Linked DNA regions of Astyanax mexicanus. The protein of the gene in region 2 interacts with the protein of the main gene of each other region in a biochemical or structural test. Links are inferred from orthologs where the notes say so. Each region holds a gene or a part of one and is shown on either strand. Other genes may lie near its edges.

Region 1 (15,837 bases), on a different chromosome or scaffold from region 2:
GGAGTTAGAACAGTCTCAATACCTCAAACAAAACAGGATAATAATAAACAAAATCAAAAATAATAATAAGAAAATAATAGAATAACAAACAAAACTAATAAGAAATTGTTTTGTACCATCACAAAATTCTCCATGATTATCCCTACTTAAGTTTCAACCTCTACCGTACTGCTGGCATTTGTACTGAAAATTAAAAGTTTTAGATATCATGAAGCAAAAAAAAAAAAAAAAAAGAGATGGACAATGAATAACTTTACCTGTACTGCCATCAAAACCACCAACAGCATAGAGCAGATCACCCAGCACAGCCGCCCCCAAGGTGCTGCGCCGCTCCTGCATACTGGGAACAGCACTCCACTGGTCCCTCACGCCATCATACACATCCACCGTCCTCACACGCAGTGAACCGTTAAAGCCCCCCACTGCATAGACCTTACCACCCATGAACACCACACCTGTATAACAGATAAACAAAGACACAGAATTAGCTTCACAGAAAGTCTCAATCAGGTGGAGAATAAAGTGAAAACAGAAGCACCACAGAGACACTCGCCTGCTCGACAGCGTCTAGAAGGCAGGTCCGCCACCTGGTACCACCGATCGCCCTGGAAGTCGTAACACTCAACGCTGCGAATGGCCTTCGGAGCCTGACCACCCACCACAACCATAACCTGACAGGGGAAAAGAGAGAGAATGTTTAACTCATGAATAAATCCGACTTATCTGAAGAAACAGAAGCATGTAGTTGCATGTCCCCACAGCACGATGCTGCTACCACCATGCTCCACAGTTTCATGTTTGGTGTCCGCAAAATATAGCATCTATTCTGATGGCCACAAAGTTCCATTTTGTTTTACCAGACTAAAGAATCTTCTCCCAGCTAAATTTAAAACATCCACCACAAGGGTAAACTTTGTAATGAAGCTCTGGTATATAACTGAGTCAGTTCTCTAGGCAAGAATGTTCTGGTGTTGCTTTCCCCTCATATGGGCGTGGTGGATGTACCGGTATTAATTTAGCTCCTTCAACCAGAAAGTAGGTCCTCTTCTTTGAAAACTGGTGGATAAATGTCTACAGCTCTGGAAAAAATAAAGAGACCACTTCAGTTTAAGTAAAATTAACATTGTTGTTTTATTCTTTAAACTACGGACAACATTTCTCCCAAATTCCAAATTAAAATAGTCATTTACTGCATTTATTTGCATAAAACGAGAAATGACTGAAATAACAAAAAAGATGCAGAGCTTTCAGAGCTCAAATAATGCAAAGAAAACAAGTTCATATTCATAAACTTTTAAGAGAGCAAGTTTGTGAAATGGACACAGGAGTTGTCAGCTCCACATGCTCATCCCCGGACACAAAGCTTACGTGGTTATATACACACATTTCAGTGTCTAAATTGCATGTCTCTACTACGCTAGTGGTGGTGATAAATTACCCAGCCTTTTGGTTAGCGAACTTACTGAAGCTCAGTGATTATCTGCTCAGCAGAAAAATAGCACACTTGCGTGCAGCTGTAAATAGCTGGCAACCCTGAGTGTGGAAATGGGACTGGGGGAATAGTGGTGGGCAGATTCGGTGGCTACCAGCCACACAGATTAATGTAACATACCTCACAGTTCAAATGAAAAATACTGTCTGAAGCTCTGCTGACAGGAGCTGCCAGTGTGGAAACTCAGCATGTTTCCTTAATATCTGATAATACATCCTAGGCTTACTTTCTGTCTGGAAAACCAACTCTATAAGTCAACCGATAACGTTGCATACCTTAGGCAGGCTGACTGGTGTGCGTGGCCGTGTCCTGTCTGTCTTTATCAGGTGTCGTTGGTCTGCAGGTAATAGGTGGTATTTCATGGCTTCAATGAGAAAGTCCTTACACGTGTTGTTGTTCTTGATCAAGGCCTCCTCTTCTACAATCTGCACAGATACACAAATTAATGTAATGTAAAGGGCTTAGCCAAAAATAAAATAATACCAAACATCATGGTGTAAATCAGACCTAAAGACAGCCTACCTGAACCAGGTAATCTCTGGATAATAGTGGCAGTCGAACATGTTCCATGAGCTTTGGCATGTGCTCTAGACGTGCCTCCTTGTCTTGTTTTATCCATGCGATCATGGCTTCAAAAACCTGGGGAGGTGCAATAAACAAGCTGTAAGCTCCTGCATCCTCTGTTTCATGATGGCAGAGTCACTGAGGTGGCTCTGATGGCGGATGACAGCTGGCAGCAGCTGAGCTTGCGAACTTGGGGGGTGAGACACGGAGCAGCTAATGGTGTGTGAGGGCTCCAACTGACGCACAGCTCGGCTCCTTCTGCATCCCAGCAGCACTCTGGCCTGCGAGTCAGACTGTTTATGACAGAGCCTTCAGTCAGTCATCCAGTGAAATTACTAAAGTGTACCAACATGGAGTTGGATGACTTGTTCCATAGCCAGCATATGGTTTTAACAACTGCTACTGTCTGTCACATTTACTAGACACCAGTGGATTAAACAAGAACAGGATTAAACAATGAAAGTAGGCCAAATAATTAAAACTGACTTAACTGAATATTAACCACACCCACCAAAAACATGTAACCTGTTCCTGTAATTAAAGAAAAGCAGGATTTCACAGCAGCATTTCACAAAATATACAGCCATTCACTTACATGCCACAATTCATGGGATAGGAACTAGCATTGTGTCCCATGACTTTGGCCATGTTCCTTGGATTCTAAAGGAAGCTGCACTGATCTGTGAGATGGTTGTGAAACGCCCTGCATTAAAATTAGTGCGTTTTCTGATAGACGCGCTTGTTGATTCACAAGGACAATTCTGGCCGGACACTGCCAGTCACAATCATCACCACCCACTGTGCATGCACAGCTTCATTAATGAAATGCCCTGTCTGTTTGACACCCACTAATCAGGCTCTGATAACACAGCCTTGCCATGAGCAAGCTGACCAGTTTTGACCTCTCAACTTTTACAGGTATAGGCATTTCAGCAGTCACCTGGAGTAACATTTTATGATCAATTACATAATTACTCTTGAATAATTAACTTAATTGTGAGCTGAATTTGTTTAAGATAAATTATCCAAAATGATGATAACAACAACAATAACGACAAATAATTATAATAATGCCCACTGGAGATTATTTTTTAGAAGTGCTTTCAGAGAACAGTGAAAAGGAAGGTAATAACATGAAGACATTAAAATGATTTAAAAGATTAATATAGATACATACAGAAAACATACACATAAAGCTTACCTTCTCCTCTGTAGACACAGTTAGTTTGTCACTAGAGATAAGGCTGCACACTTGCTGTAAGGAAAGACCCATGAACTCCTCTCCCAGCATGACCTCTGAGAAATGCTGCTCTGTTTAGCACAAGAACAAACATATACACACACATAGGCTGTTAGTCAGCTGGCTGTTCTCCAGCTCTACTTTATGTGCTTGAAACTAAACTGAGCTTAAAGTTAATATGAGCCAGATAAAAAAGCTCACCAGCAAAGGCGTGGGCATGGTTGAGCAAGTCAGTGCAGGCGTGCAGGTCGGCAAAGGCGCGGATGCCGAGGCAGTTGGTGGGATGGAGCTGAGCCTGCAGGAACTCACAGCACACCTGCCTCACATCCAGAAGCTGCAGCAAACTGGCTGCTGGCAGCAGAACCTGAGCAGATACATCATGTGATATTTTATGATTAAGGTAAAAAACCTGTAACTTCCTGCAATGAATCTGACTTTTTACAACAAATGATTATTCCATATGTTCCATATTTATGTAGGAAATAATGTACATTTGATGTTATTCTTTAAATGTAGGAGAAAAATATTAATGTCTGCAATGTTCTTCAGTTCTGTGGCATTCAAGAGCTTTAACAGAAACACAGTTACTAGTTTTACAAGTTAGTTACGTAAGTAAACAAACCTTTTTCTTTTAGACTTTTTTTTTGTCATCATCTTTGCGAAACTTCTTTGTGTTACCGATTTTTTTTTGATGTGTTCATCATTTTAAAGGACAAAAAAAAGTCATGTGGGTGCCAGAAGACGGACCTTATTGAAGAGCTGAGATTATTCTAGCTCCAACCCTCACTGAGCCAGATACTACCGCATCTATCCATCTATTACTGCATTCTAAACTGCTTGATTTGCTGAACGATTTGTGATTTGTGTTAGTTTTGAGTTGGAGGTGAGATTCGTGAGCTCAAGTGTTCATAATATGAAAAAAAAGCAGAGAAATCTTCTATGCTTAACATTCTTCAGAAGCCCACATGCTGATGCAGCCTTGCTTAATAACAGTCACATTTCTCACTGCAGCATTTGTACATACTGCATGACCAAAACTAGGTCACATTGCTCAGCTTCACTGAGCCTTTCTACCTCTTCCATGATACACTTAAATCTCAAGAGAAAGCTCCATGCAGCTTTTTTGGAGCATCTGTTCTCTACAGCTGTGGTGCCTGTAGCAAAACAACCCCTCTACTTGCTAACAATCTAATGAAACACCCAAAAAAGGCATTACATGACTTTATATTATCCTCACAATCATGAACAATCAGAGCACAAGGGCATGAGAGGTAAACACAGGCAGAACCTTCCCTCGCTCTTTACACATTTCCCCTCTTAATAATGGCAGGAAATGCTGTGCCTCAGAGCAGGACTTGCCAGAGAAAAAAGGTGCAAACGAATTGCAAAAGAGTCAAGAAAACAGGAAAACACATGAGGCATATTATACAATTAAGATAATATAAAAACAACTGGTAAAATAACATGCAAAATCCACTCACCTGAACATTGTCCTCTGAGACTTCGATCTGAGCCGTATAAATGTAGTCCACCAGTTTCATGAGGATCTGCCCTTCCACATCCCTTATTTCAACACGAGGAGCCTTACTTTCACTCATTTCACCTGAAAACAGCAAACACAACACAGTTTCAGCAGATTTTATTATGGAGAGAGCCATGATTAAAACAAAAACAACAACAGCATTACTAAAGGTGAACTAAGTCACTGCAGTGGAACATGGGAAACCTTTTCATGAATTTTTATGAAAGTTTCAGTAGAAGGTACCTTTATCAAGGTGTTAAGCTTTCACGTTGTCAAATTGTGATGTACAATATGCTGAGATACTTAAATGTATTGCTTAATTATAGATATTCATTACTTTATTTAGACAGAGTACCTGTAAACATAGCACAGAAGTAGGGACTACAAGAAGCAAGGACAACTTTATGTGCCGGAATCTCCACTTCTCCAGCTACTAGCAGCACATCACAGAGCATCTTTCTGCTGCAATCATTAATGAGAAGAAAAAGAAAAAAAGTTAAATTTTGTTTGTTTTTGACATTTTTTTTGCTAATTTTACATTAAATTACAAATCAAAATATACACTGATCTTTATAATAGAAGATATTTGTTTTTCAGAATGGGTATATAAACAAGTACATGCACATTTTCCCTTTTAAAAAAATGCCATGCATTTATTTACCTTCTCAGGTCATTCATTAACCTAAAGGCTTTCCTCATATGTGCATGACTGAAGGTGTGCATGCCTGGGTCTCTTCCATCGTCCTCTGAATCAAATTCTTGCAGGGATGTAGCTCGGCTCCTGGTGAGACAGGATTAGATACGATGAGAACTTATGTATAAACAACATATACAGTATGCTACCTCTCTAACTCTGGCTATATCTGTCTCTAGAAATGTAGCTAAAACCTACCAATCAACTACAGCTAAAGCTTACACACTTTTTCCAATAATAAAAAAGTCTAGCCATTAATATCATAAAAAGCATCCTCTTATGATATTTTCACACAGTCTAATCGTGCCAAATAACTACTATCACCCAGTGGACAGTGAAAAAGTAAAAGTAATTGGCTCTATTAAATATTTCAGGTCACTTTACCTCAACAACATTTCAAAGTCAATTATCTTCCATTTTAATCCACTATTCCATTATGGCAGATCTGGCATTCCTTTTGGCTCATGTGTGCATAAAAAGATAACTTGTCAAAAAAAAAACACAAATCATAGTACAGTACAATTTGCACTTTGTTTTGAGCTTGTTTTTACCTGCTGGATATATTGATCCATTTCAAACATACCGTTCAACAACTGTATACAATTTATAGTGCCTATGCCAAAATATATTAAATATACAGTACAAGTAAAACGTGTGGACACACTTTCTTATTTAATGTTTTCTTTATTTAATATATTTTCTTAATTAAAGATTGATGTTAAAGAAATGAAATCAATTAAGGGACACATATGGAATATGTAAATAAAAAGTGTTTGTCCTCTACAATCCCCTAATCTAAACCTGATCAACTGAAATGGGTAATTTGGCAATTTGGGATGAGCTGGAGCTTCACAGCGTGAAGAAAAAGCAGTAACTATTGTTCAGCACCTCCAGAAACTCCATCAGGACGCTGAGAAAACTATTCCAGGTGACTCTACCTCATGAAGACACTGAGAAATTTAGTGGGTGTGCAGATCTATTCCTGTATAGTGCTAATGTCTTCTATATTAAATTTACAATGTAAAAAGAAAGAAAACACATTGCATGAAAAGTGTCCAAATCTTTCGCTAGTACTGTATAGATGCAGTGCAGTAATAGTTTGCTAAAGCACATTTCCTTAAAATTACCTTTATAGCTAATTTGCAAATACATCTGCTTTCATTATTTGGTGTTTGGGACTTTAATAGACATCACTGTTGTCTAGTATTGTTACAATAATGATAATAGGACATTAAAGCCTTAATAATTCGTGGTACTTTTGCTTGTTAGTACTTTTGACACTTAAGCAGCTACATTTCAAAGCAAAACAGTCTTTAGTCCTACTGAAGAATATTTGGGTATTTCTATTTCAACTCAAGTAGCTACACATATATAGAATGAAAATAAGAAATAAAAAAAATAAGAGAGCACTTCAGTTTCTCTGGTTTTGCTATTTATAGGTATATGTTTGAGTAAAATAAAAACAATCCAAATATAAATACTGCAATTCAGAGCATTTATTTGCAAAAAAAGAGAAATGGCCGAAATAACACAGCTGTTTTAAGCTTTCGGACCTCAATTAATGCGAAGAAAACAAGTTTATACGTTAAAAGAGTTCAGAAATCAGTATTTGATGGAATAAACCCGATTTTTAAACACAGTTTTCATGCACCTTAGAATGTTCTCCACCACCAGTCTCACACACTGCTTTTGGATAACTTTATGTCACTCCTGGTGCAAACATTCAAGCAGTTCAGTTTGGTTTGATGGATTGTGATAATGCATCTTCTTCTTGATTATATTCCAGAGGTTTTCGATTAGGTAAATCCAAGACACTCATCATTTTTAAGTGGTGTTTCATATTTTTTCACAGCTAGGTTAACTAGCTAGCCGTAGCTAACTGTCTGTCGTTTCGGTAAACAGACCTGACACAGAGCTAGCGTTAGCCAACGCTAGCTGCTATTAGCCTGACTTTGTCACATACAGCTAGTTAGCTAGGGTAAATCCACCAATTAAAGGAGTCGTTTGGGTAAAGTATCTCACATATTTTACTCTTAAGCGAGTGTATTTTTGTGGAAAAGCGGTTTCCGTGCCTTTACTTTCAGCACTTACCCGATAAATTCCATGTTTCCGGAACACTGCAACTAGCCGGGTGGCTAGGCTAACGCTGGTAGGCTCGCTAGCTCATCCCGTTGCGGTTCTCGGGCCCATAGTTATAACTTATTTTCCGCCCTTTCTGCCTTCTCCCCTCGGTAGTGGTCAGCAGACTGCACAGCCCCGCGCTGAGCTCGCCCTGTATCCCTTACTGTAGTGTGTTAATAAGCAGCGGGGCAGTCTGTAGCTTAATGTTTACATGCTGAGTGTCAGAGGCAGTTTCCAGCCCTCTCTCTGCCCGCTGTCCTCTCACTCACAACCGTCCAATCAGCGCGTGTCCACGTTGCCAGGTAACGCGCCGACGAGCTCCCGGGAAACTGTGAGCGTAGGATGCTAAAGGTGCCGAACAACATGGGCTATCTTCTGCAGAAATATCCTCTAACACTTATTCAGACTCTCAGAAGGAGCAAATGGACAGGGCATGAATTCAGAAATGAGCAAGACAAGACAACCATATACACTATACTTGTACAGTAGGTACAGATGTAATTTGGCCTCCAACTTTAACCTATATTTAGAAAACTAAGTACTAGTATAGAGGACACACACCCAGAGCAGTGGGCAGCCATCACTGCAGCATCTTGTCACACCCAGATATCAAAACCATTACCTATTGTCGTCGTTGGCTCGCGGCCCAGTAGCTAGATTCCCCAAACCAGTCCAGAGGACATTCACCGGACAGGCTACTCATGACCACAGTTCCCTTTACCCTGAAGACCCACTACCATACACTTTATTACGCTTCCAACTAATCAGCCAATTAAAAAAGTTTCTGTTGAGACATTAAAGCAGAAAAAAACACTTAACTGTACACGGCAGTGAGCCTCAAGGAAAAGAATTGAAGAAAGCCTACAAATATCCAGGTTCCCCTGAGAATAACTATATATGTACAAAAATACAATCAAACCACCACCAGGCACCCAGACTACTAATATACGCGCCTCGTATTTAAATCACACCCAGGATTGTTGCCATCTAAATGGATTATATCTCTATATCTAAAAAAAAGAAAAAAAAAAGAAAAAGAATTTATAATGGATATAAACCTACTCAATTACAAGCTGTTGTGAATGGTACCAAAAGGAACACAAGATGAACAGCATTGTCCAACCAAGCAGTTCTCAAACTGGGGGGCTCAAAATCAGTACCTCACGAAAAATAAATAAATAAAACTGTTATGCCACTTTATCATTATCCAATTTGGCCATAACCCAATTATTTGGTGAATTATTAAAAATTCAGTTTTAAATCCTGCCCTTTTTTCTTTTTTTTTTACCCAGAGTAGGGGTCTACATTGGCACTTTACAAAAACGGAGTTTTAACTAAAAGATTGAAACACACTGATCTAAACAACATCTAGACAGCATTTTAATAACCAAGCAGATTCAGATTCGCAATCATGATTTTTATTCAATCAAGTGCAAATGTATAGTCAGTCATTCTCATGTTCTGTAGGAAAAAAAAATGCAGGCAAGAATTGGTCACAAAAACACTGGTATCTTGAAGTTCAACAACATTGAATCATCTTCCTCTCCACCAGTGCCCTGGAGCCTCAGCGCCACACCAACCTCTGGAGCCTGTAAAAAGAAAAACAGGGACACATTAGGTTTGCCACTTATTAAAACATGAAAATGCATAATTACTGCAGTTTCTTAGCATTCTGAACTTACCACTGTGTGCTCATACAGGCCTCTCCATGTAGGTAGGAGCATATGCACACTCCGAAGTTTGCTTTTGCTGCAGTTCACTGTAAAAAATACAAAATTGTTAGGTAAATAGTATGCATCAATGTCTATGTCCACAACATTTAGATTTCTGGGTCATTTAACATTTTACTTACTTGCAGAACTTTCAAATCAATCAGGTCTGCTTTCCAAAAGGTCTTCATCCACCAGCTGGGCTTATAACCAAGAAGTTACCTATTCCCAGCAGTTTTGTCATTTCTGCAGGGTAAAAGAGAGGGGTAGATGTAAGTGCATGATCATTTAAATTTAGTAATTAGTTCCTCAAACAGGCTCTAAATTTGCCAAACCCAATCAGTTCATTATTTATACTACTAATTATTCTTTAGGGCAACTAAAACTGTTTAAATAATGGAAGGGAAGTAAAATGCAAAGTGCACTTTCTGGTATGAAAATTGCACAGTCATACAATTCAACAGCCCAGACAAGTGCATTAAATTCAAAACTACTTAAAGCCATGAAAGGATTACTACTACAGTTTAATGCACATATCAATGTTATCCAAGTCCTTTCAGTGTGCCATAAATGTGTAGGGACAAAACACAAGCAAAACACCGAGATGATGAGGGAGGGGGTGTAAGATAAGATGTAAGATAAATAACTGAAGCCACAAACCTTGCTTATAAATGCTGATCTCCTTGCATTTGGTGTCATTAATATCTGGAACTAATGCATCAAGTAAACAGGAACTCTAAGCCCCACACTCCGGTAAGACCTTAAACTGAAAATTGTCTAAAATATTTGATTAAGACATAACTAGAGCGTAGCACCACAGCTTCACATACATTAAACCAGACAATATAAATTATACTATTTACCACTTAAATTAATTCACACAAGTCACCTCAAATTTACTGAGGTTAAAATACATATTTAAGAAATGTGTAAAACTTATGTTGCATGCACGCATTACTGGATCATCTAGAAAATACCTGATGCAAGTTCAGTTGCTCCAGGTGGATCCATATGGTGTTTAAGACAATGTAATGTCTTGTGTAAAGTATTTCTACAAACCTGAAACCTGGTGCGAATATCCTATGGACTTTCAGCTGGGTTTCTACAGCTCTGGAGTACCCCTGGAGAATCCAATGACGTAGTAGTGGACACAGCTAAGGTATAGATCCGTCTTATTTGATCACTAAAAGTATTGGAACAGAGCTCTAGACATATTTTACAATAAGAAAATAGGTAAAATACAACATCCTTAGTTAAATGGGTGAGGAAATGGTAATCCCCCCACTCATCTGATCTAGAGATGATCAAAGTGAAGTAGAAAGACAATGAGCCGATGAACAGCATCTAATCAATTACTGCTAAGCTAATACGCTTAGTCTAGTCTATTCAAAACCACCCAAAATGAGGCTCGTCTAAAGTCAGTAAAACAATGGCTAATGGAACTTTTATTAAATAGAAATACATACAGTTTTAGTGTATAACTGAAAAACAATATTTAATAAGTCAATACCTTTCAGGAACACAGTGAGACAAAGCATTTTAAATGAAGTCTTCTTGGTGTTTAAACTAAAAGCAGAAATCGAAATCCAACCTAAAATAATCTGAAAACAGGTTCACTGTAACAATAATGTTTAATCAATAATTCCATAATAATAATAATTATAATAGACTCAACTATTTAACATATATAAGTGGGATTTACATGTCAGTCACTATAACGAGGAAGGAGTAATTGATGAACGTGAGACGAGAACGAACCATGGCCTGGTCCTTCTATATACACATGCTGCTCTCAGCCAAGACCGAGATCACCACCAATTTTAGGGCGATAATTTAAGCGCCGACCCAGCTCGCCTTTATAATGACCAACGAGCCTAGTTTTAAAAAAAATAAAGGACTACAAATTAACTGCACCGGAAATACACAGCTAACGCTTTTAATAACAAAAAATAGCCCAGATTTAACACTTCTTAAACTCAGGTAAAAAAGGAAGAAATAAAAAGACAGGATACAATACATATACTAAAAGAGAGAAAACACATGCCTATGCTAACAAGCAAGTGAGCTAATCTTAACTTAATTCAGACAAATAAGCGTGGTAAAACAGTTCTCCGTCAGGTAACCTGCCCTTGCCACCCGCGGGAGGTCAGATTAAAGTAAAAGATCCAGAGTAGTAGTAGTCCTATTTGACTTGATGTGAATCCGCCTAGTAGTTCTAGAGCAGACCGATGAACTGGGGTCTGGGGTAGTAGTAGGTAATAGCTGCTGTAAGAACTTGATCGCTGGGTTTAACTGTATAGGCGGCGATAGGCCGCGGAGGGGCGCCCTATCTCTCCTATTGTGCTAGGCTGGGTAGTTAGTTAGTCGAGGGTTCCTGTATGAATGGATAAGTGAAAAAGAGGAGTTCGTTCGAGTCCTGGAGAAGGAGCAGCTCTTAAACTCGGACCTAAAACACGCCCTCTTAATACGAGCCTCCATAACCCCCCCTGCCGTAACCACCACCACCGCCACCGCCGCGGGAGTAAGGAGCGCTGCTTCTGCCCGAGTAATTACCTTTCATTGGCCCATAGCCAGAAGACTGCTGGCCATAGCCGCTTCCAAAGTCATTGTAGCCGTTACCGCCGCCGTAGCCACCCATTTGGTCCCCGTAGCCTCCCCCATACCCGCCACCGTAGCCACCACCGTAACCACCGCCATAGCTGCCGTCGTTGCCTCCGTAGCCGCCGCCATAGCCGCCACCGTAGCCACCGCCTCTTCCGCCGCCATAGCCGTTCTGGGGCCTTCCCATGCCGCGTCCGCCTCGTCCTCCCCGGTTGCCGCCGCGACCGCCTGCAGACTGCATCTCCTGCTTGGTCAGCGCTTTCTTCACCTCCACTTTGTGTCCGTTGATTGTGTGGAACTTGAGCACGACCGCTTTGTCCGCCGAGTCGTTATCGTCGAAGTACACGAAGCCGAAGCCGCGCTTCTTACCCGTGTCTTTGTCCATGATCACCTCGGCCTTCTCGACGGAGCCGAACTGAGAAAAGCACTCGATCAGGTGCGAATCTTCGATGTCGTCCTTCAGACCGCCGACGAAAATTTTCTTGACCTTAGCGAGAGCTTCTGGCTTCCCTGCGTCTTCCCGGGCCACCGCCCGCTTGATCTCCACGTTGTTCCCGTCCAGGACATGCGGCCTAGCCGACATGGCGGCGTCGGCCTCCTCCGGCGAGGTGTAGGTCACGAAGCCGAAGCAGCGGGAGCGCTTTAGCTGCTGGTTTTGGACAACCACGCAGTCGGTCAGCTGCCCGTACTGCTCGAAATGCTTGCGGAGACCTTCATCCGTAGTTTGGACGTTGAGTCCACCGACGAAAAGCTTGCAAAGCTGGTTTTCCATTTTCTTAGCGCTGACTTGAACAGGTTAGTAACCTCTCAGTCGGCTCCGGGAACGGTGATGTGAAATGGCGGCTGCTCTGTAATAAATGGCGGCGGCGGGCGGGCGTGGTGAGAGGCGGAGACGCGGGGGGAGGTTGTAGCACCGCCCACATCCAACAGAATCACATTTAATTCATTATTTTAGACCCCTAAATTTACTAAATAAAGATATAAATAATATAAAGCCCTAATCACGTCAACTACAATAATCTATTATTTAATGCCTTTATTTAGTGTTTTTAACCCTCTGTGGCATAGTCTTGCCGTCAGGAAACACAAACCACAAACCCTTCCATACCATACGTATTTATTCACTTCCTTGCTGTACCTACTTATCTTTAATATAATGTTACATTGCATATCTACGTCCAGTACAATAAGGCGTATAGGTGGGACATAAATAAAAATATGTGTTAATTCATGTTTTTTTTTTAAATAAATCATTATCCAGCAGTGGAACACACATATAAAACCCAGTTTATTAAACACATTGCTTTAAACCTATATGGCATTAATTATACCTTTTCGGGAAGGAAAACAGCATTTATGAAAGCTTGGGAGTCCCTGTGGTTATACCAAATTAAATTTAGATTTAGCCTTTAGATAATTTGGTGTTTTAAAGCAAGGAAGAACCCAAAACATGCAGGGTAAGAGGAGGTCAGATGAGAAATCTCCCGAAAGATATAATTCATGCCATATAGGGTTAAAGCAGCGTGTCTATTAAACTGGATTTTTATGTGTGGTCTTTGTCGTTTATTACGACGGCGGGTTGTAATATACGTTAATATACTGTGTTTAAAAAGATAAAAATGCTATAAGAACTGTTAAAAAAGCAGTAGCTATATAGTCGGCTAATGGACTATCACGTTCAGCTAGCAATATAAAGGTTTTTTGTGTTGTAGGGTCTCTTTCTTTCAGGCTCGTGCTTTTGTTCTCTGGCTAGCTGCCCACCATCTGCTCATATATGAAGCGCTAGCTTTAACACATGGTGCTGTAGGTTAGCTAGCTAATATAATTTTTTATCTTAGCTAAATGTAGATAGATAGAATGCAAGCAGAGCGAGTGTTAGGCTACTAACTAAACAAATTAGCTTTAGTTGCTAACATTTTAAGATATTTTAAGGGAGGTTGAGGTAAAAAAAAAAAAAAAAGAAAAGCACCTAAAAAAGCTTTAAAAACTCCAGCTGGTCATTTAGAGACAACATCGGTCGAGAGCAATTAAACCAACGAGCTGACCAGCTAAAATATATGAGCTGGATATTTTAAGGCAGAGCCGTAATTAAATGTGTGGGTTCATTTAATTCATTCATTGTCTGCGTAAAATGAGATTTTTTAGCTCACTAAAAAGCATTAGTACATTAGCTACTCTGTACACACCGTGTTATTAGTAGTATAGTCCTGTAGTCTATGATATATATTAATGCCGGTATAGTCTATATATTGCAGCTATTAATATATATATATATATATATATATATATATATATATCAAAGTGCGGTTTAGGAGGCAGCTGTGTTTGAATAAAGAAGAAGAAGGAGGAGGAGGAGGTGACCGTGTGCTAGTTCCCGTGTCCACAGTGCGCATGCGCGGCATCCACACAACAGCTATTACGGCAAAAAATGGCGGCCGCCGTTGAGAATGTTGTTAAAGTGTGAGTTGATTTACCATTTTTTGAGCGTTTAAACCATCTTTCACAGCTTGTTTATAGCATATAAACTGATCGTTTAATAGAGCATAAGTTTTGGCGAAGGATCGTGTAAATGAAAGTGGGTTTGTTTAGCTGGATTTATCGATTTTGAGTGGGTTTGCTAAGTAGCACCACAGCTGCAGCTACTCCATTCATTGTTTTCCAATGGAAACAAAACCCCTGCTGTCGATGCTGTGGTGTTACCCCAGGGTTGTATAGTTAGCATGTAGAAGGTGTTTATAAGATATAAACTGTTTTAAACTCTGCTTTAAACCCTCAGCTTGTTGTTCGCGTGTTCTTAAGTTGTTGAGAAGGTGCGTTTTTAATGTTTGTGTATTGCAGTTAGCTCGCTAGTTAGCGTTAACTACAGACTACTTCAGAGAGACCACTTCAGTTTCTGAATCAGTTTCTCTGATTTTGCTATTTATAGGTATATGTTTGAGTAAAATCAACATTGTTGTTTTATTCTATAAACTATGGGCATAATTTCGTCCAAATTCCAAAAGAAAATACAGTCATTTAGAGCATTTGTTCGCAAAAAAGAGAAATGGCTGAAATAAAAAAAAAAGATCCGGTGCTGGGGAAATTAATAAGCATGTTAAGCAAATAAGGTAGTTTATCTTTATTGAGACAGGAGTTAACTTTAACGTGTTGCTTTTGTTGTTGCATTGATTCTGAACATGTATGTGTATGTGCTTTAGATTGGGTGAACAATACTACAAAGATGCCATGGAGCAGTGCCACAACTACAATGCCCGGCTGTGTGCAGAGAGAAGCATTCTCATGCCTTTTCTGGACTCCCAGACTGGAGTAGCTCAAAGCAACTGCTACATATGGATGGAAAAAAGACACAGAAGTGCAGGTTTAATATGCCAACTTTTAAAAAAATAATAATACATTTTTCCTTGTTACTCCGACTGTTTTCTCAGTAGTACCAATTTTGTTCCTTGCTAGGCATAGCACCAGGCCAGCTGTACACATATCCCGCCCGTCGCTGGAGGAAAAAGAGGCGAGCACATCCACCAGAAGATCCTGCTTTGGTTTTCCCCCCACTTAAAACAGGTGTTTGATCTACGTCTGGGCATTTATTTCTTATATGTTTTTTTTGTGGAAAATTATGATGCTTAGCCATTATCCTGTGTATCTGTCCTTTGTTCCCAAAGCGGATCTGGAATTAGGGCTGAAAAAAGATGTGCTGGGGACGTTGGATGGTAGCAGTCTGGAGGCCTTGCTGAAAGGAGAACCTTTGGATAAGAGAGCCCCTCCAGAACTCAGGGGCCCAGAGGAAGAAACCAATTTAACTGAAATCACCGGAGCAACTGGGGCCAGTAGCCACAGCACCTCCACACGTGTCCGAAAGGTATTGAAATAATAAAGTTTATTGATCAAACTACATCA
Region 2 (15,929 bases):
AACCATTATTATCAGCTTCTTTGTGATTAGACATTTGAAAAGAGAGTCTCCACAGGGCTGCTTTTAGTAATAGACCCTCAAGGCTTAGGCCTACGGTCTGTCCAAGAGCTACGATCTAACTTGGTGTCAAGAAAAAAAAAAACACAAATACTTCGTTAAGCTTACTTAAGTAGAAATGTTGGTTATCTATACTGCACCGAAAAATAAAAATAGCTTTGTTACTTGTTACTATTTTATTTCAGATTTTAATTCAGTTTTTATTCCGGCTTCTCGTCGTTCAATAAAACCCTTATCCAGATAAATCTCCTCATCCAGATAGAGAGTGAATCTGATTGTGATTGGATGTAGAGAAGTATAAACATGTACCATTCTGACTCCCTATTGGTTTATACTGTGATACATCACACCTGCACATATCGTCACGCCCCCCCCTCCACATACACACTCCAGCAAGAGCATAGCAGACGTATGTAATCTAGTATGAAGATGATCTGAGCAGAGACTCAAGAGAAATCCAGACAAATGGGTCTATATGCAGCTGAAAAGTGAGGGAGCTTAGTGCATCCCAAATTATATTTATCAACATTAACATTTTAATGTTTTAACATTATAGTCATTATGGCTTTAAAAAAAATGTGTTTTGGGGAGGGGAATAGTGCACTACAGGACTATAGGACTCTAAATAGTTTTAAAACCAGAACTTTAACACTTTTACTTAAAGAGTAAAAAGCTTGAGTTGATGCTTCAACTTCTACACCAGTATTTTGAACCCTAGTTTCTGTACTTCTACCTACAGAGTAATGAATGTGAATACTTTTTTTTTGACACTTTAGCAAAATCACTTGAAAAGCACTTTGCTAAATCGATCAAAGCTGAAAATACATAATGTGGATCAATTCAATGGAAAGTCATCAAAAAAATCCCAAGCAAGCTAAATGACAGTTGACGACAGACCAGCATGGAAACTACCTTACCTACCAAAAAAAAAGAGAAACAGGAGCGGAAAAAGGTTTTCCTACAAACAATGCTGACCAGACAATCCCCTGTACCTTCCTTAAAAAAGAAAAAAAAAATCTTCCACCAATTAAGAAGAGGTATACTCTGGGGCTTTCTTCCAGCCAACATTAAACAAAGCAGCTCAAGGATAGAGTGGAGTCTTTCTCAGTGTGTGTGTGTGTGTGTGTGTGTATGAAGTTGGGGGTTGGTGGGGGGGGGGGGGGGGGGTAGGGTGGTAAGTCGGACACAAGACAGGCCTCCCTGCAATCCTCCAGCTCTGCCTCCACCGGCTCGCTCCTCCTCCCTCACTTCCCTCTCTCTCTCTGGTGCTCTTTGTGGGACTGGTCGTTGGCTCACAAGGGCCAGACCCCTCTCTGAATCCCGCTTGCCCTTTGACCCCGAATCACTTAGGACCTCCCCTACAAACAGAACTGATCTATTAAGAATGCACCCCCACCGTCACCCCCAAGTAGCGTGAGCGTGCCCACTCACACGTACACACAGACAGGCTCCAGATACCACTGCCTCCTAGCCACCACGCCCACTCCAACACACTACAGGGTCAAAGACAGTGACGTCAGCACCAGCATGCCAGCCGCCACTTTAGGATTACCAGCAGGCCTTAGGGAGGACCATCTTAAAAGCTCTCATCTCATCTGTGTATTAGATAAGATTACGTAACCTTTGCAAAGCTTTAGGGGTTTTATCATTATTATTATTATTATTATTAATATTATTAATGCATGCATCATGAGTTGTTTTTTAGTGCTGCGGTTTTATCAGGGTTTCCCCATCTTCACTGTTTTTTTAACCAAGCCAACTGACATACTCTATAGTACCCAATTTTCGCACTAAGGAGCATGTTAAATCTTTTTAATTTTCCCAAAAATTGACATAGCACCTTATAATACATATATACTACTGAAGTGCAGCGTTATAAAGGAGTTTCAGTTAAGGTCTCTAGCACTGAGGCTGGAGCAGTATTAGCATTTGCCGCTAACCACGCTAAACAGTAGCTCTTTTGCCAGTCAGAGGTGAGTATAATGGGCCTGTTGCCTGCTGCTAACCCCGGCTAGCACTGCTGGAGTAGCATTAGCATTACACACTAACCACGCTAAGCGTTAGTTCTTATGCTGTTCAGAGGTGAGTATATCAGACACTCAGGAACACTCAGGGTTCCTCAGTGTAGCGCTGTCGGGCAGCATTAGTGGAAATCTAGGCCTAATTTTTGCTGTGTTGTTCGTTTTCCCCTTTGCATTGCAAGTGCACAAAGAATTAGGGGTAATCCAGGACCTGTGTCCTCAAAATTACTTAATTTCTCAGATTCCTTCATTTTGAAAACAACCTAAAAGCATCAAAAAACACGGCCTACCTACATGGGACGCAGCTATTTCGAACACAAGGCGCATATTCAGGCCCTGTCTCTTTCTGCTGTATATAAACATGCTTCATCATTACACCCCTAACGTCCAGAAAAGTAATTACATGAGTAATGCTTTCTAACAGACAAGGTGCTCACAAACAAACATGCTTTCCACAAAATAAAAATGAAAAGAAATGGGTTATATTGAGTTAAAGCCAGACTGAGAGATGCCTAGAGAGAGAGAGACAGAGGGAGAGCTTTGTGATGCTTGGGGAAAACACTCGTCCGTTGGGTCACTGGTTAATGAGATCCAACTGAGCATAATTTGCTTCAACTCCCAGAGTCAGATCTGCATTTATTTGCTCAAGACGGTATTTATAAGATTGCTTTGGCCTGATATAACCTTACCCAGGCATCAAAGTGAAAGCAAAAATATCTTGCGGCTGAAATAATTTGGTATTACTTTTTTCTTTAAACAGTTGGTCATATGACCAAAGAGCTTGCAACTGAACTTCTCTCCTCCCCACCACCACTGCTACAGCTCTTCATTGACCTTCATTTGGCACTGTGAGAAACGTAACCACAGAATGGCAAAAAAAAACATGTCGGGTGAGAAGACTTCCTGCTGTAACCTTGGTACCCACTTCTGTACTACTGTTCTGACACTGACTGCCAACTTATCTCGTCTTAATCAGCAGTTTTAAACACTGCACACCTATTTTGAATGCCTGCAGCATGTGCATCATCACAGCACGCTGAGAAGAGGAGGTCATATTACTGAGGCCAAACGTTCAATTAGATTACCTTTGCTGTAACTACTGGGGATAAAGACCAACTAAGACTCTAACTGAAGAGTTTAGGGATGAGAGGATTGATTCTTCCTTACCTGGAGTTCACACCACGCTACTTCCACAGTTGTCTCAGTGTCCAAGCCCTTGTAGACGGTTTTGAAAGAGCCGCGTCCAATCTCGATGTCAAACTTAAGAAAGCGCCCATCTGGCGAAGTGCCCACGGCTTTCGTCTCCACTTCCTCATCCTCTCGCTCCTTCTTCTCAGCCTCCCTCTGTTCTGCTTCAGCGCGGGCCTTTGCTGCCCCTTTCTCCTCCTCCTCGCGTTTTTCAGCCTCTCCAACATCTTGCTCCTGGTTATCCACTACGATGGGCACCAAAACTGGGGTTCCAGAAGCTTCACTTTTCTCAGGGCTTAAAGTCTGGATTTGCTTCTCATCCCCGTCAAGCCCAGACAGCCGCCCTCCTTCACTGGTATCTTCTGCCTGTTCTTCTACAACAATCTCCACCACAGCCAAGCAGGCCTCAGCAGCTACATCAGGAGCAGAACCAAGGCTCAAGGGCGCCGCAGATGATTCGCGATCCGGAGGCGAAGTGGGGATGCAAGCTTTGCTAGGAAGGTCTAGAGCAGTAGCGTTGGAATCGCAGATGACACTGCGCCTAAAGAACCGGTGCTCAGCAGTCTTCAGGTCTTTATCCATAGTGTGGCGCCGGTGCCGGACCTCCGCACCCAGCTTTTCGCCGAGCAGCGAGTCGGAGCCCGAACCATTCACATTCTTTGGTGGCGGAGGGGCCAGGAACTCTGTGCCATTGTTCTTGGACATCTTCACACCAGGCAAAAACAAAATAAAGCTAACTATCAAAAAGAATAAATAAATTACTGTGTATAAATCCAAATGTAAACGTTCACTTTATAGTGAAGAACTTCTCTCCACAAACAGAGTGAAGGGTATGATCACAAATTAAAAGCTTTAAAGAGCCTCAGAGAGTTTCTGGGAGAACCCCCTCCTTGGGTGTTCCTTATAAACAGTTACTGTTACAGTATTTATGGTACGAGTCCAGGAGAGGGGGTGTTCTTTTATAAATGTAAAAGAACAAGACGCAGTCACAGAGAAGCAAGCGCTGATGGTGACAGACAAGAACCGTCAAATCCACACCATCCATCCTGCAGCAACCCGGGAAGAGTCTTCATGGAGCATAAGGAACCACAAGACGGGCGGGGCTAAAGCCTTTTCACGCTTTCCTTCGGGAAACAGGGAACGGTCAACCCGGCTGCGTAACCCAACCCCAGGTCCAGACTCACTGCAAGACAACACAAGCAGAGAACAGGTTTAATTGCATGCCCAAATTTAGACTTTAGTCTTTGTCAGCTTGACCTTAAAGCTATAACCACCAACAAGCATGTCAGTGGTTTGGCATGGCTCTACACAAAAGGAAGAGAAAAGGGGAAATTAGTTTTATTTCCCTGGAATTGTTTGCCAGTTACATGCAAGTCTGACCCATTTTCACACACTTTAACCTACAAACCTGAACACAGATGGTTCTATCCTGAGCAGCTAAATGTGCAGAGACCAAATCAGCCATAAGATATTCTTCTGCCAGAGATATTCTTTCTTATATCATTATTTTTAAATCAACATTAAAAATGGTCTCCTAAGGAAGCCAATCCTCACAGAAATAAAGCCTATTTCCATGTGGCAGCCATGGGGGTGAAGGAAATTTGGGGGCGTGGCAGCAAGGGCTGATGGAAACAGCGTTGATCTTAGGGGGTTTAACAATCCAATTTACTGCTTATGGACAGCTTTAATAAGACTGGCTGCATGAGGCTGATTTACTGGTTAAACTAACTAGAAAACCACTTTGTATGTGATGACTGTGTACATTCACATATAGACATGTAGCTAGACACTATATTCGCCAGAGTTTCTTAGGAAAGTCTCCAGCAAGCCTAATATATACAAAATATATCTTCTTATCAAATCATTCTTTCTTATCAAGATACTAGGCGGACACCAGTAATGCAGTAGCTTGGTCCCATCCACTGCACTGGAAATACAGTTTAATATGATTTAGAACACTTTTAATCATGTTTTATTTTTTACTGTTCTGGGATTTATGGGGGTTTATAAAAATAAACAGGTAAATATGAAATATAAAATATTACAGGTTTTCAATGCAATGGGAAAAAAATATTTTTTAAATATTTTATTTAATTGGATTTATGTGCTATATAGATTTTATAGTAGAATATTATAGTCTTCTTTTCTGTGCATTATGGACATAAAACAGCATCCTTTTATCCCATCACTGGAGAGAACTCAGGTCTGAAAGGGTTAATTAGCTCATTCACGCAGCTTAATTTTCTTATTTAAACGCCTTAATATGTCGTGGCCACGCATTAACATGATGTCAGTTCCAGAAAACTTTCTGGAGCTGGACAATTCACCACAACTATCTAGCTCATAGTAAATAAATGCATGAAAAACTTCTGAAACTTTAAGTATTTGATTAAATAGTTCGTGTCAGGTAACTACTTAAAGACAGGCAACGTTTTAACAGAGAATAATACAGTTTATACACTTATTTAGCTTGTTTAAACGTTTTGAAACGATACTAGTCCACCTCAGAGACTGACATTAGCTGGGCAGTTAGCTACCCTGTGTTCTGTAGTGTTGGGAGAAGAGCTTCAGAGCTCTGTGTCGGATAGCGAGTTAGCTAAGCTAAGCTAACCAGCCATTTGTCCGCAGGTTTTGGATATCAACTGTGATTTTAACGTTTTAACACTTTAAAACTATGGCCAAAGTGACAAAGCGACCAATATCTCAGTGGGAGATCTTTCCAGAAGCTGTTAGCATGCAAACGTGAGGAGAAAAAGAGGGAGAACATGAGCTCAGCTAAATAACTAGCTTTAACAGCTAGCTAAACATACCGGTAGATTAACTAAGGCTAGCTTAAATAGCGTTAATTAACTAGTTAACTCTACCCGGTTTGTTGGCTAAGACGTTGTTTGTGTTGAAGCTAAAATTAGCTGGAAAAAGTAGGTTAATAAATCAGGCAGGGCTAGCAAGCTATCTGGAGTAGTTAGTGTATTATTAATAATAACACTAATAATAAAAAATACGTTTAGCTAATGTAGCCAGCTAAAAACAACGTTTAAATATTTTGTATAGGCACTTACTATCTCATTAGTTTGCTCAAATCTAACAACTAACCTGAATAAATCGCTTTTAAAACAGAGTTTCTGAAGGTTTCAAATGAAAGAAACGTTCACATTAAACTCCAAATCACAGTAGCAGCTCAAACACTGTGTTGATATGGTGTTGAATAGGCAGCTACAACGTTGAATCTGCTAGAAATTGGGAAGATAACCTCAATAAATCGACTTAAACAGGGTTTCTAAATGTTTCTGGAGGTTTAACATTAAAGCAACGTTCCCATTAAACTCCACAACAGCACAGCAGCTCCAACAGCCAGTGTGTTCATCGTTTATATATGCTTTTACAATGTTGAGTTTGCTAGAATTTGGAAGTTAACCTCAATAAATCGATTAAAACAGGGTTTCTGAAGGTTTAAACTTCTAAAAGCAACGTTCACATCCAAAACACATCAGCAGCTCCAAACAGTCAGTGTGCCACCACCAGCTGCTCTCTCTCTTTATCTCTCTCCATCTGATTTAAAACCTACTACTAACACACCATTTACTAGGACTGCCCACTAATGATTATTTTAGTAACTAGTCGACTAATCTGACGTTTTTTTTTTTCGATCGATTAACCGATTTCTGCCATCCCCTCACCCGCTCAAGCTTGCACACCTGTAAGTGTTAATAACTAGCTACCCCAAACACCACATATACTCTTTATTTACTAGCTGCCACTAATGATAATTTTGGTAGCTAGTCGACTAATCTAACGATGTTTAGAGTCGAATAGTTGAAAAAATGCTTATTAGTTGACTCTACTATCATTAGTGGCAGTCCTAGTCAACCCGTAAACACACTCCATAGGACTGCTCACTAATTGTTATGTTTTTTTTTTTCGATTAGTCTATAATCGACTAATCGATTTCTCCAATCCCCCCTCACCTGCCCAAGCTTGCACACCTGTAAGTCTCTTCACCCTGTTGTTCAGTCACTGCCTTAATGTATAATATCGCAAATAATAATAATAAGCTATTTAAGCAAATTGCGTGTAAAAAGTGGCTGATAAAGAGTTAAATATGTCTTAACATGGCGAACTAGGTTAATAAGACTTAATAGCTTTTAAGCTTAAATCAAATGTAACCTAGCTATGTATTAGGTATGTGAACTGGGTGAGTGAACAACTTAGGAAACTTAACCCCTGCCTCATTAGCTAAGCTACGTTTTCAAGTGTAGTTTAGTGCACAGTGCAGTTAAAACGATTTTGTGGATTATGTCAACGAATCGTTGCAGCCCTACGGATCTGTCTCACCACGTTGCTGAATCACAACACAGCAAGCCAGCAGGTAACTAGGTATGTAGGTAGACCTAATGCTAGAGATATAACGTTAGATAGAAAGATCCAATAGGTAGGTAGGTCAGATAGGGAAAAAGATAAGACAAGACATTCAAGTTTACCTTTCGTATCGTGTTATCCATCCTTTGGTGTCATCCTCCTCCAATGAAACAGACAAGACGAAAGACAATCACACAGTCAGACAGACAGACAGCAACAGCAGTAGTCTGTAGTGTGAGGAAGAAGGAAAAACCCAACCAAGCTAACCTAAAGACTGCAGACTGTGAGCTTGCTGCGTTGGGCTAGGTTAGGTTAAGTTAGGTTAGATAGCTAGCCATAACAGTACCAACAAGTCATAGCTAGCTAAATAACCGAATACATATTATTACTTGGTACTAATACTATCTAATTTAGGAGAAATCCTTCCTGCAGGACATGCCGTTCAACACATACACACAGGCACTACAGCTACTGCCTACTGCCACAGCAGCTCTGCAAACGACTGGGTTAATGTTGTTAATGCTGGGTTGAAAATGTTGCTTATATTCCCACAGGCCAATGATATACTGCTGCAGCTGTTAAACCCAGTCCTGCAGATCTTCAGGTTGGCTGGTTTCTCTCAAGTTCGCTCTCGCAGTCTCTCCGTATCGCCTTTCCCATGAACAATGCAGCGAAAAAACAAACATCCACTGCAGCTCGTCTCCTCTGTTCAGTCTGGCCGGTGAAACTGTGTGTAATTCCTGGACGGTGGACACAGTCAGAGAGCCTATCCTACCGAGAACCAGCAAGCAGCAGATCAAATCTCAGCATTTCCCCGCACTGTATAACGTTTAGAGTCCAAACGTACGCTTTGTGTTGTTGAGCAGCTGGTCTCTCTTTCTCTCTTTCTCTCCTTCTCTCTCTCTCTATCGCTTCTGATGCTTATTCCAGTGTGTCACGTTGGAGGCTGCGCCGACACGAGCTGCTCCAGCTCCCCGCCCACAAGAGCCTCAGCCGGGCTTTTATCAAACACACCGAGGGGGGTCGCCTTTCCCTCCGCACACACAGCAGCGGCGGACTTCTATCACACCGCGTGCAACACTGTAGCAAACCTTAAAGAAACACACGGTGAGAAGAGGGGGGGGCTTCATTCATGATTATCAGCCGCAGCAGAGGTGGGTAGAGTTGTGAGGATAAACAATACATCAAGTCATTATTCTGAGATAACAGTGCGTTGATTGTATGGATGAGCCTGAGAAAGAAAACAATGACACATTGAGACAGTATCTCAAAATAATGACTTAATATTGTTTAATATTTTTTTTTAAATAGTATGTATTTTCTTGATTTTCTTATCATTGTGTTAATTGCTATCTCAGTATTTAGAGGTAGTAGTAGGTTTCACAGCTGAGCCAGATAAATAAAATAATTATACAATAAAAAAAATGGTGAGATAGTGTCTCAAAATAATACCTTATTGTCTCAGAAGTAACTCAAAATAATGTCTTGGTATTTCAGAGGTAACTCAAAATAATGAGTTAATATCTCAAAATAATGTCTTAGTATCTCAGGGGTATCTCAAGATAATGTCTTGTTATTTCACAAGTAACTCAATATAATGTCTTAGTATCTCAAAATAATGACTTAATATCTCAGAAGTATTTTTAAAAATAGTATGTATTTTCTTGATTTTCTTATCATAATTGCTATCTCAGTATTTAGAGGTAGCAGTAGGTTGCACAGCTGAGCCAGAGAAATAAAATTATTATAAAATAAAAAAAATGGTGAGATAGTGTCTCAAAATAATACCTTAGTGTCTCAGAAGTATCTCAAAATAATGTCTTGGTTTTTCAGAGGTAACTCAAAATAATGCGATAATATCTCAAAATAATGTCTTAGTATCTCAAAATAATGTCTTTGTATCTCAGAGGTATCTCACAATAATATCTTAGTATCTCTGAAGTAACTCAAAATAATATCTTAGTATCTCAGAAGTATCTAAAAATAATATCTTTGTATTTCAGAAGTATGAGCTTGTGTAAATAATGATATAGTTAAATAGTATCTCAAAATAATATATTAGTTTCTCAGAAGTATCTCAAAATAATGTCTTAGTATCTTAAATGTATGAGCTTGTATCCCAAAATAACGACTTAGTATCTCAGAAGTATTTTTAAAAATAGCCTGTATTTCTTTTCTTATCATTGAGTTAATTGCTATCTCAGTATTTAGTAGATTGCAAAGCTGTAGATTGCAAAGCTTCAACTTATTTCAAAATAATGTCTCGGTATCTCAGAAGAATCTCAAAATAATGACTTAGTATCTCAAAAGGAGGATTTTTTTTAATATTAAAAATAGCATGTTTTTTTTTCTTATTAAGTAAATTGCTATCTCATTATTTTTAGGTAATGTGGACTGGACTGGAAAATTCTCCTGAAACCTTTTCCCACATCTGTTAGAAACTGGTGTTTGTTCTCTATTCTTCTAATTTGTTGTTTTTCTTAAATACTTTTAGAAGTTCGGAGTGAGCAACTACATTATATGCACCAAGTGCTGTATGAACAGTGCATGCAAATGTCATGAAAGGTCAGGTTATGGGATGGAGCAGGAAGAAATCACTCAGGATGTTAAAGCCCATTTATCAAACAGTAATATAGAATTTGCAAATGACCCACTTCCAGAGCGTATCTTTTACCTTAATCCTCTTTACACTGTTAATGGTTGTATAAATATACACACACAAAGCTTACGCAAATGGCAAAAGCTTGAAATCACACTGTGTAATCTTTACCTCGTGCTAATATGTGATACACTGTTTAAAAAAGTCACATTATGCTTTCATATTATGCACTATATTATGTTGCATGTATTAGTACAGTCAAAATGTTTGTAATTTTGCTGGATATTAGGTACACAGCAGTGCTGCTGGAGTTTTTAAACACGGTGTCGGCTGACTGTCCACCTAATTGGACACTCCTACCTAATTTGTCCACCTTGTGGATAAAAGTCAGAGATAGAAGTTCTGTTATCTTTTGCTGTTATCTTTTGTTTCCCCTTTGTTATGACACTTACTTAGTTCTCTCCCTGGTAACGTAGCTAACTAGCCGCAAATGTTAGCATGTTAGCTAGCTAGCTACTAATGTTAGCTAGCTTTCCTCTTACTTTAGTTCTCTCCCCGGTAACGTAGCTAACTCACCGCTAAAGTTAATATTTTAGCATGTAAGCTAGCTCACAACTGATGTTACTGTGTTGGCTAGCTCTTTGCTAACCATAGTTCTCTCCCCGGTAACATAGCTAACACACCGCTAATGTTAGCTAGCTCTCTACTAACCTTAGTTATCTTCCCAGTAACGTTAGCTAACTCACCGCTAAAGTTTGTGCTTTCCCGCCGGCATTAAATGTCTGAAAATGTCTTACCTACAGCAAATTTACAGTAAATTTAAGACAATTTAAGACTGTAATTACTTGAATTTTAATGTAAGATATTTTAAGAATTTTTAAGGAAATGCAGGCACCCTGACAGTCATTTTTTTTATTTTAGGGGCGGTATGGTTGGGTTTTGTGGTAGTCCACGTCCAGGTCCTGGGGTGGTGGGGGCTGGGGGTTTGGTCCATGTCCAGGGGTCCCTCCCTGAAATTAATTTTTGCAACTTGGGATGTCTGTTTCTGGTTGATAGTCTTAATGGTTCATGATTTTAGGTCCAGCAGTAACGATGAGGTGTTTAAAAACTCCAGCAGCACTACTGTGTCTGATCAATAAAACATGCAGTCCTGTGGGGTCCTTATAAGGGAGCGTCAAAACAAGAAGGTTAAGTTAAATCTCTCTATTTGAATTTCTCTAGTTTTCTGTTTTCAGCTTCTACTCAGCTGTATATCCCTAATCACTAGTGATGCCACAACATAAGGAGGGTAAAGACTAGCACATGCTTCCTCCAACACATGTGAAGTCAGACTCCGCCTCTTTTTGATGCATCATTGCCAAGGTGCATCACAGCGCTCCGATACATCAGCTCACAGACGCCTTGCACTGATTGACATCACCCTGGAAGGGATGTGGAGGAAAAGAGCAGCATCTACACACCGCTATGCCAATTGTGCTCTTTCAGGACTTCGGCAGCTGATGGAGAGCTGTATGACCACGATTCAAAACAGAAATCTCCCGATCATAGTGGCAACGCTTTAGACCGCTGGACCACTCTGTGCCCCACATGTCCATTTCTACATGCTAAAATTACTGGTCGTTTCCATTTTCTCATTTCCTCATGCACCAGCCTCGGTCCCTCATATGGCCCACATGTGTAGGTTCTTATAGGATCATATATTACCCCTCTGGTTTGCAGAAGAGGCCCCACAGCTACTTCTCAGCAGGCCTGGGGGCTGTTGGAGGTGGCACAGGGACAGAGGTTAATTATGTACGGTAAGACTGCAAAGTACTGGTTCACTTGCTGCGCTCTTCAGCAAAGATCTGCATCTCAGAATGTGTACGTGTTTGAGACGTATGTGCCTGTGGTATGTGTACACTTTGTTCCCCGCCTGGACGAGGCAGTAATTGGCCTTCCTGTTTTCAGCACACATCGACGAAGAGAATGTAAAGTGTGGACTATGTCTTTACGTAACTGCCGTGCTAGCATTCTGTAGCATTTATGTAACGTGATCATAATTGAAATCATATGCATTTTTCCATACTTTAACACATACCCAAATTAATGTGTAGAAGGATTTTGAGCTAGCTGATATATATACATAAATTCCGCATAGCCTGCCTCCTGGCACCAGCTGCTACGCTATGCGGAGTCATATATATATATATATATATATATATATATATACTGCTCAAAAAAATAAAGGGAACACTCAAATAACACATCCTAGATCTGAATGAATGAAATATTCTCATTGAATACTTTGTTCTGTACAAAGTTGAATGTGCTGACAACAAAATCACACAAAAATCATCAATGGAAATCAAATTTATTAACCAATGGAGGCCTGGATTTGGAGCCACACACAAAATTAAAGTGAAAAAACACACTACAGGCTGATCCAACTTTAATGTAATGTCCTTAAAACAAGTCAAAATGAGGCTCAGTATTGTGTGTGGCCTACACGTGCCTGTATGACCTCCCTACAACGCCTGGGCATGCTCCTGATGAGGTGGCGGATGGTCTCCTGAGGGATCTCCTCCCAGACCTGGACTAAAGCATCCGCCAACTCCTGGACAGTCTGTGGTGCAACGTGACGTTGGTGGATGGAGCGAGACATGATGTCCCAGATGTGCTCAATCGGATTCAGGTCTGGGGAACGGGCGGGCCAGTCCATAGCTTCAATGCCTTCATCTTGCAGGAACTGCTGACACACTCCAGCCACATGAGGTCTAGCAGTGTCCTGCATTAGGAGGAACCCAGGGCCAACCACACCAGCATATGGTCTTACAAGGGGTCTGAGGATCTCATCTCGGTACCTAATGGCAGTCAGGCTACCTCTGGTGAGCACATGGAGGGCTGTGCGGCCCTCCAAAGAAATGCCACCCCACACCATTACTGACCCACTGCCAAACCGGTCATGCTGAAGGATGTTGCAGGCAGCAGACCGCTCTCCGCGGCGTCTCCAGACTCTGTCACGTCTGTCATGTGCTCAGTGTGAACCTGCTTTCATCTGTGAAGAGCACAAGGCGCCAGTAGCGAATTTGCCAATCCTGGTGTTCTCTGGCAAATGCCAAGCGTCCTGCACGGTGTTGGGCTGTGAGCACAACCCCATCTGTGGACGTCGGGCCCTCATACCATCCTCATGGAGTCGGTTTCTAACCGTTTGTGCAGACACATGCACATTTGTGGCCTGCTGGAGGTCATTTTGCAGGGCTCTGGCAGTGCTCCTCCTGTTCCTTCTTGCACAAAGGCGGAGGTAGCGGTCCTGCTGCTGGGTTGTTGCCCTCCTACGGCCTCCTCCACGTCTCCTGGTGTACTGGCCTGTCTCCTGGTAGCGCCTCCAGCCTCTGGACACTACGCTGACAGACACAGCAAACCTTCTTGCCACAGCTCGCATTGATGTGCCATCCTGGATGAGCTGCACTACCTGAGCCACTTGTGTGGGTTGTAGAGTCCGTCTCATGCTACCACGAGTGTGAAAGCACCACCAACATTCAAAACTGACCAAAACATCAGCCAGACAGCATAGGTTCTGAGAAGTGGTCTGTGGTCCCCACCTGCAGAACCACTCCTTTATTGAGTGTGTCTTGCTAATTGCCAATAATTTCCACCTGTTGTCTATTCCATTTGCACAACAGCAGGTGAAATTGATTGTCAATCAGTGTTGCTTCCTAAGTGGACAGTTTAATTTAACAGAAGTTTGATTTACTTGGAGTTATATTGTGTTATTTGAGTGTTCCCTTTATTTTTTTGAGCAGTGTATATATATATATATATATATATATATATATATATATATATATATATATATATATATATATATATATATATATATATATATGTCTGTTATTATCAGTTCAGTGATGGCGGCGCTTGGAGCTGAAGCTAGCATGATTGCATGTAAACAGTGTTTTTTAATAAGCTTCTTGTGCACTTTTTAAGTTATTAATGCCTCGTTTTAAATGTCAGGGCTCTCCAGATTCTAGCAAGGAGGTGTGGAGCTACTTTGAGCTGGATAACGGTATAAAAAGCTATTTATCGGGGCAAATTATGCCCAGTGTTACCCAGTCTGAAGGGTGTTTAGGCAAACTGTTAAAATTCCTGGATCTCAGAACACTGTAGGAGGTGTGCTATTCATCAAAGGTAAGTACATTTTATCATGTTTTACTGCATCAAAAGCCCATTTTACACCAGAATTCTCCTTTAAAGACTATGCAGTATTAGGGTTTAATTCCCCAGCTAGGCAAGTTCACCACTTTTCACCAATCAGAGAGATTGGCTCCCGAAGCTACATTCACCTACCTGTGTAACCTGATTCAAATGTAAATTGCTTTGGAAAAGAGCACCCGCCAAATGCCATTATAGGGGAATTCCACCATCGTATGTGATTTCAGTGGCAATTGTAAGCTAGGAGCACTCTTAGGAATTAAGGGTAATATGATTCATAACTCTCACAGCACTTTCTAAGCAATTTCTAAGGCTACAGAAACAAGGGTTCTCTAAGGGTTTTCTAGAGTCACCAAGTTTTTCCTTGTATTAAAAATGTTGAAAGAAGGCACAGGGCCATTTAAAAATTTAAATGGAGTTTTAGTGGATGAGATGTCATATGATGTGATTGACCATTAATCAGTGGAACATGTCACAGGCTTAAAAGGTATTGATGTATATTAATAAGTGAATTGAAGTTGACCCAATAAAACAAGATATATTGGGTTCAGAATGTCTGGATGTCTGGAAAAAATAGGAGACCACTTCAGTTTCTGAATCAGTTTCTCTGATTTTGCTATTTATAGGTTTATGTTTGAGTAAAATGAACATTGTCGTTTTATTCTATAAACTACAGACAACATTTCTCCCAGATTCCAAATAAAAAAAGTCAATTAGAGCATTTATTTGCAGAAAATGAGAAATGGCTGAAATAACAAAAAATATGCAGAGCTTTCAGACCTTAATTAATGCAAAGAAAACAAGTTCACATTCATAATATCAATATTTAGTGCAATAACCCTGTTTTTTAATTACAGTTTTCATGCATCTTGGCATCCTGTTCTCCTCCACCAGTCTTACACACTGCTTTTGGATAACTTTATGCTGCTTTACTCATGGTGCAAAAAATTCAAGCAGTTCAGTTTGGTGGTTTGATGGCTTGTGATCATCCATCTTTCTCTTGATTATATTCCAGAGGTTTTTAATTTGGTGAAAACAAAGAAAATCATAATTTTAAGTGGTCCCTTATTTTTTTCCAGAGCTGTATATTTGCATTTTCCATACTTCTTACATGTTTTTTAATTGTGTACTTTGTTGAGTACTTAAAAAACATCAATGAATAAAGTTATGCATAATGTTGATAATAAAGCAATCACAGTGTCTGTCATATTTCGAGAAATAGCTTTCTTTAATTCTTTCATTTAAACTGATTAAATGCAGAAAACCAGGAATTTAAAGTTCTTTCCCTTTAAATGACTTGAGGTGTAAAACAAAACTGAGGACTGAGGTATTTTATACACCTTTTAATTGCTTGCAAAATATTCACTGTTCCTGCCTATCATATATAAAGCTTATATCACCTTATATAAAGGGCAGCCTGTATTTTTGAGAGGTTTTCGCTTGAAAAAGGCTGTGCTGGTATGCAAAGCAGCTTTAACAACATGTTAAAGTGAGAGAGAAAAGGGCCTACACTCCCA

The links.
Region 1: of the proteins of wnk1b (region 2) and klhl3, one has a biochemical effect on the other in vitro, tested with the Homo sapiens proteins (2 studies listed by BioGRID). The link is inferred for Astyanax mexicanus from reciprocal best matches to the Homo sapiens genes WNK1 and KLHL3.

Annotation. Positions count from the first base shown.
Region 1 is NC_064417.1:37,864,321-37,880,157, reverse strand, and holds the start of klhl3 (kelch-like protein 3), read right to left. Parts: upstream 8,048-15,837; 5' UTR 7,618-8,047; coding exon 7,604-7,617; intron 5,974-7,603; exon of another isoform or gene 5,908-5,973; coding exon of another isoform or gene 5,897-5,907; intron 5,600-5,896; coding exon 5,480-5,599; intron 5,281-5,479; coding exon 5,174-5,280; intron 4,900-5,173; coding exon 4,778-4,899; intron 3,661-4,777; coding exon 3,498-3,660; intron 3,368-3,497; coding exon 3,258-3,367; intron 2,132-3,257; coding exon 2,015-2,131; intron 1,918-2,014; coding exon 1,768-1,917; intron 672-1,767; coding exon 554-671; intron 456-553; coding exon 258-455; intron 1-257. Other genes in the region: hnrnpa0a (heterogeneous nuclear ribonucleoprotein A0a), read right to left, coding at 11,804-12,715; dpf2l (D4, zinc and double PHD fingers family 2, like), read left to right, coding at 14,372-14,403, 15,141-15,301, 15,394-15,501, 15,603-15,799. UniProt on the Homo sapiens protein: Substrate-specific adapter of a BCR (BTB-CUL3-RBX1) E3 ubiquitin ligase complex that acts as a regulator of ion transport in the distal nephron.
Region 2 is NC_064409.1:5,330,006-5,345,934, reverse strand, and holds the start of wnk1b (serine/threonine-protein kinase WNK1), read right to left. Parts: upstream 8,687-15,929; 5' UTR 7,745-8,686; intron 4,450-7,744; 5' UTR 3,972-4,449; coding exon 3,246-3,971; intron 1-3,245. UniProt on the Homo sapiens protein: Serine/threonine-protein kinase component of the WNK1-SPAK/OSR1 kinase cascade, which acts as a key regulator of blood pressure and regulatory volume increase by promoting ion influx.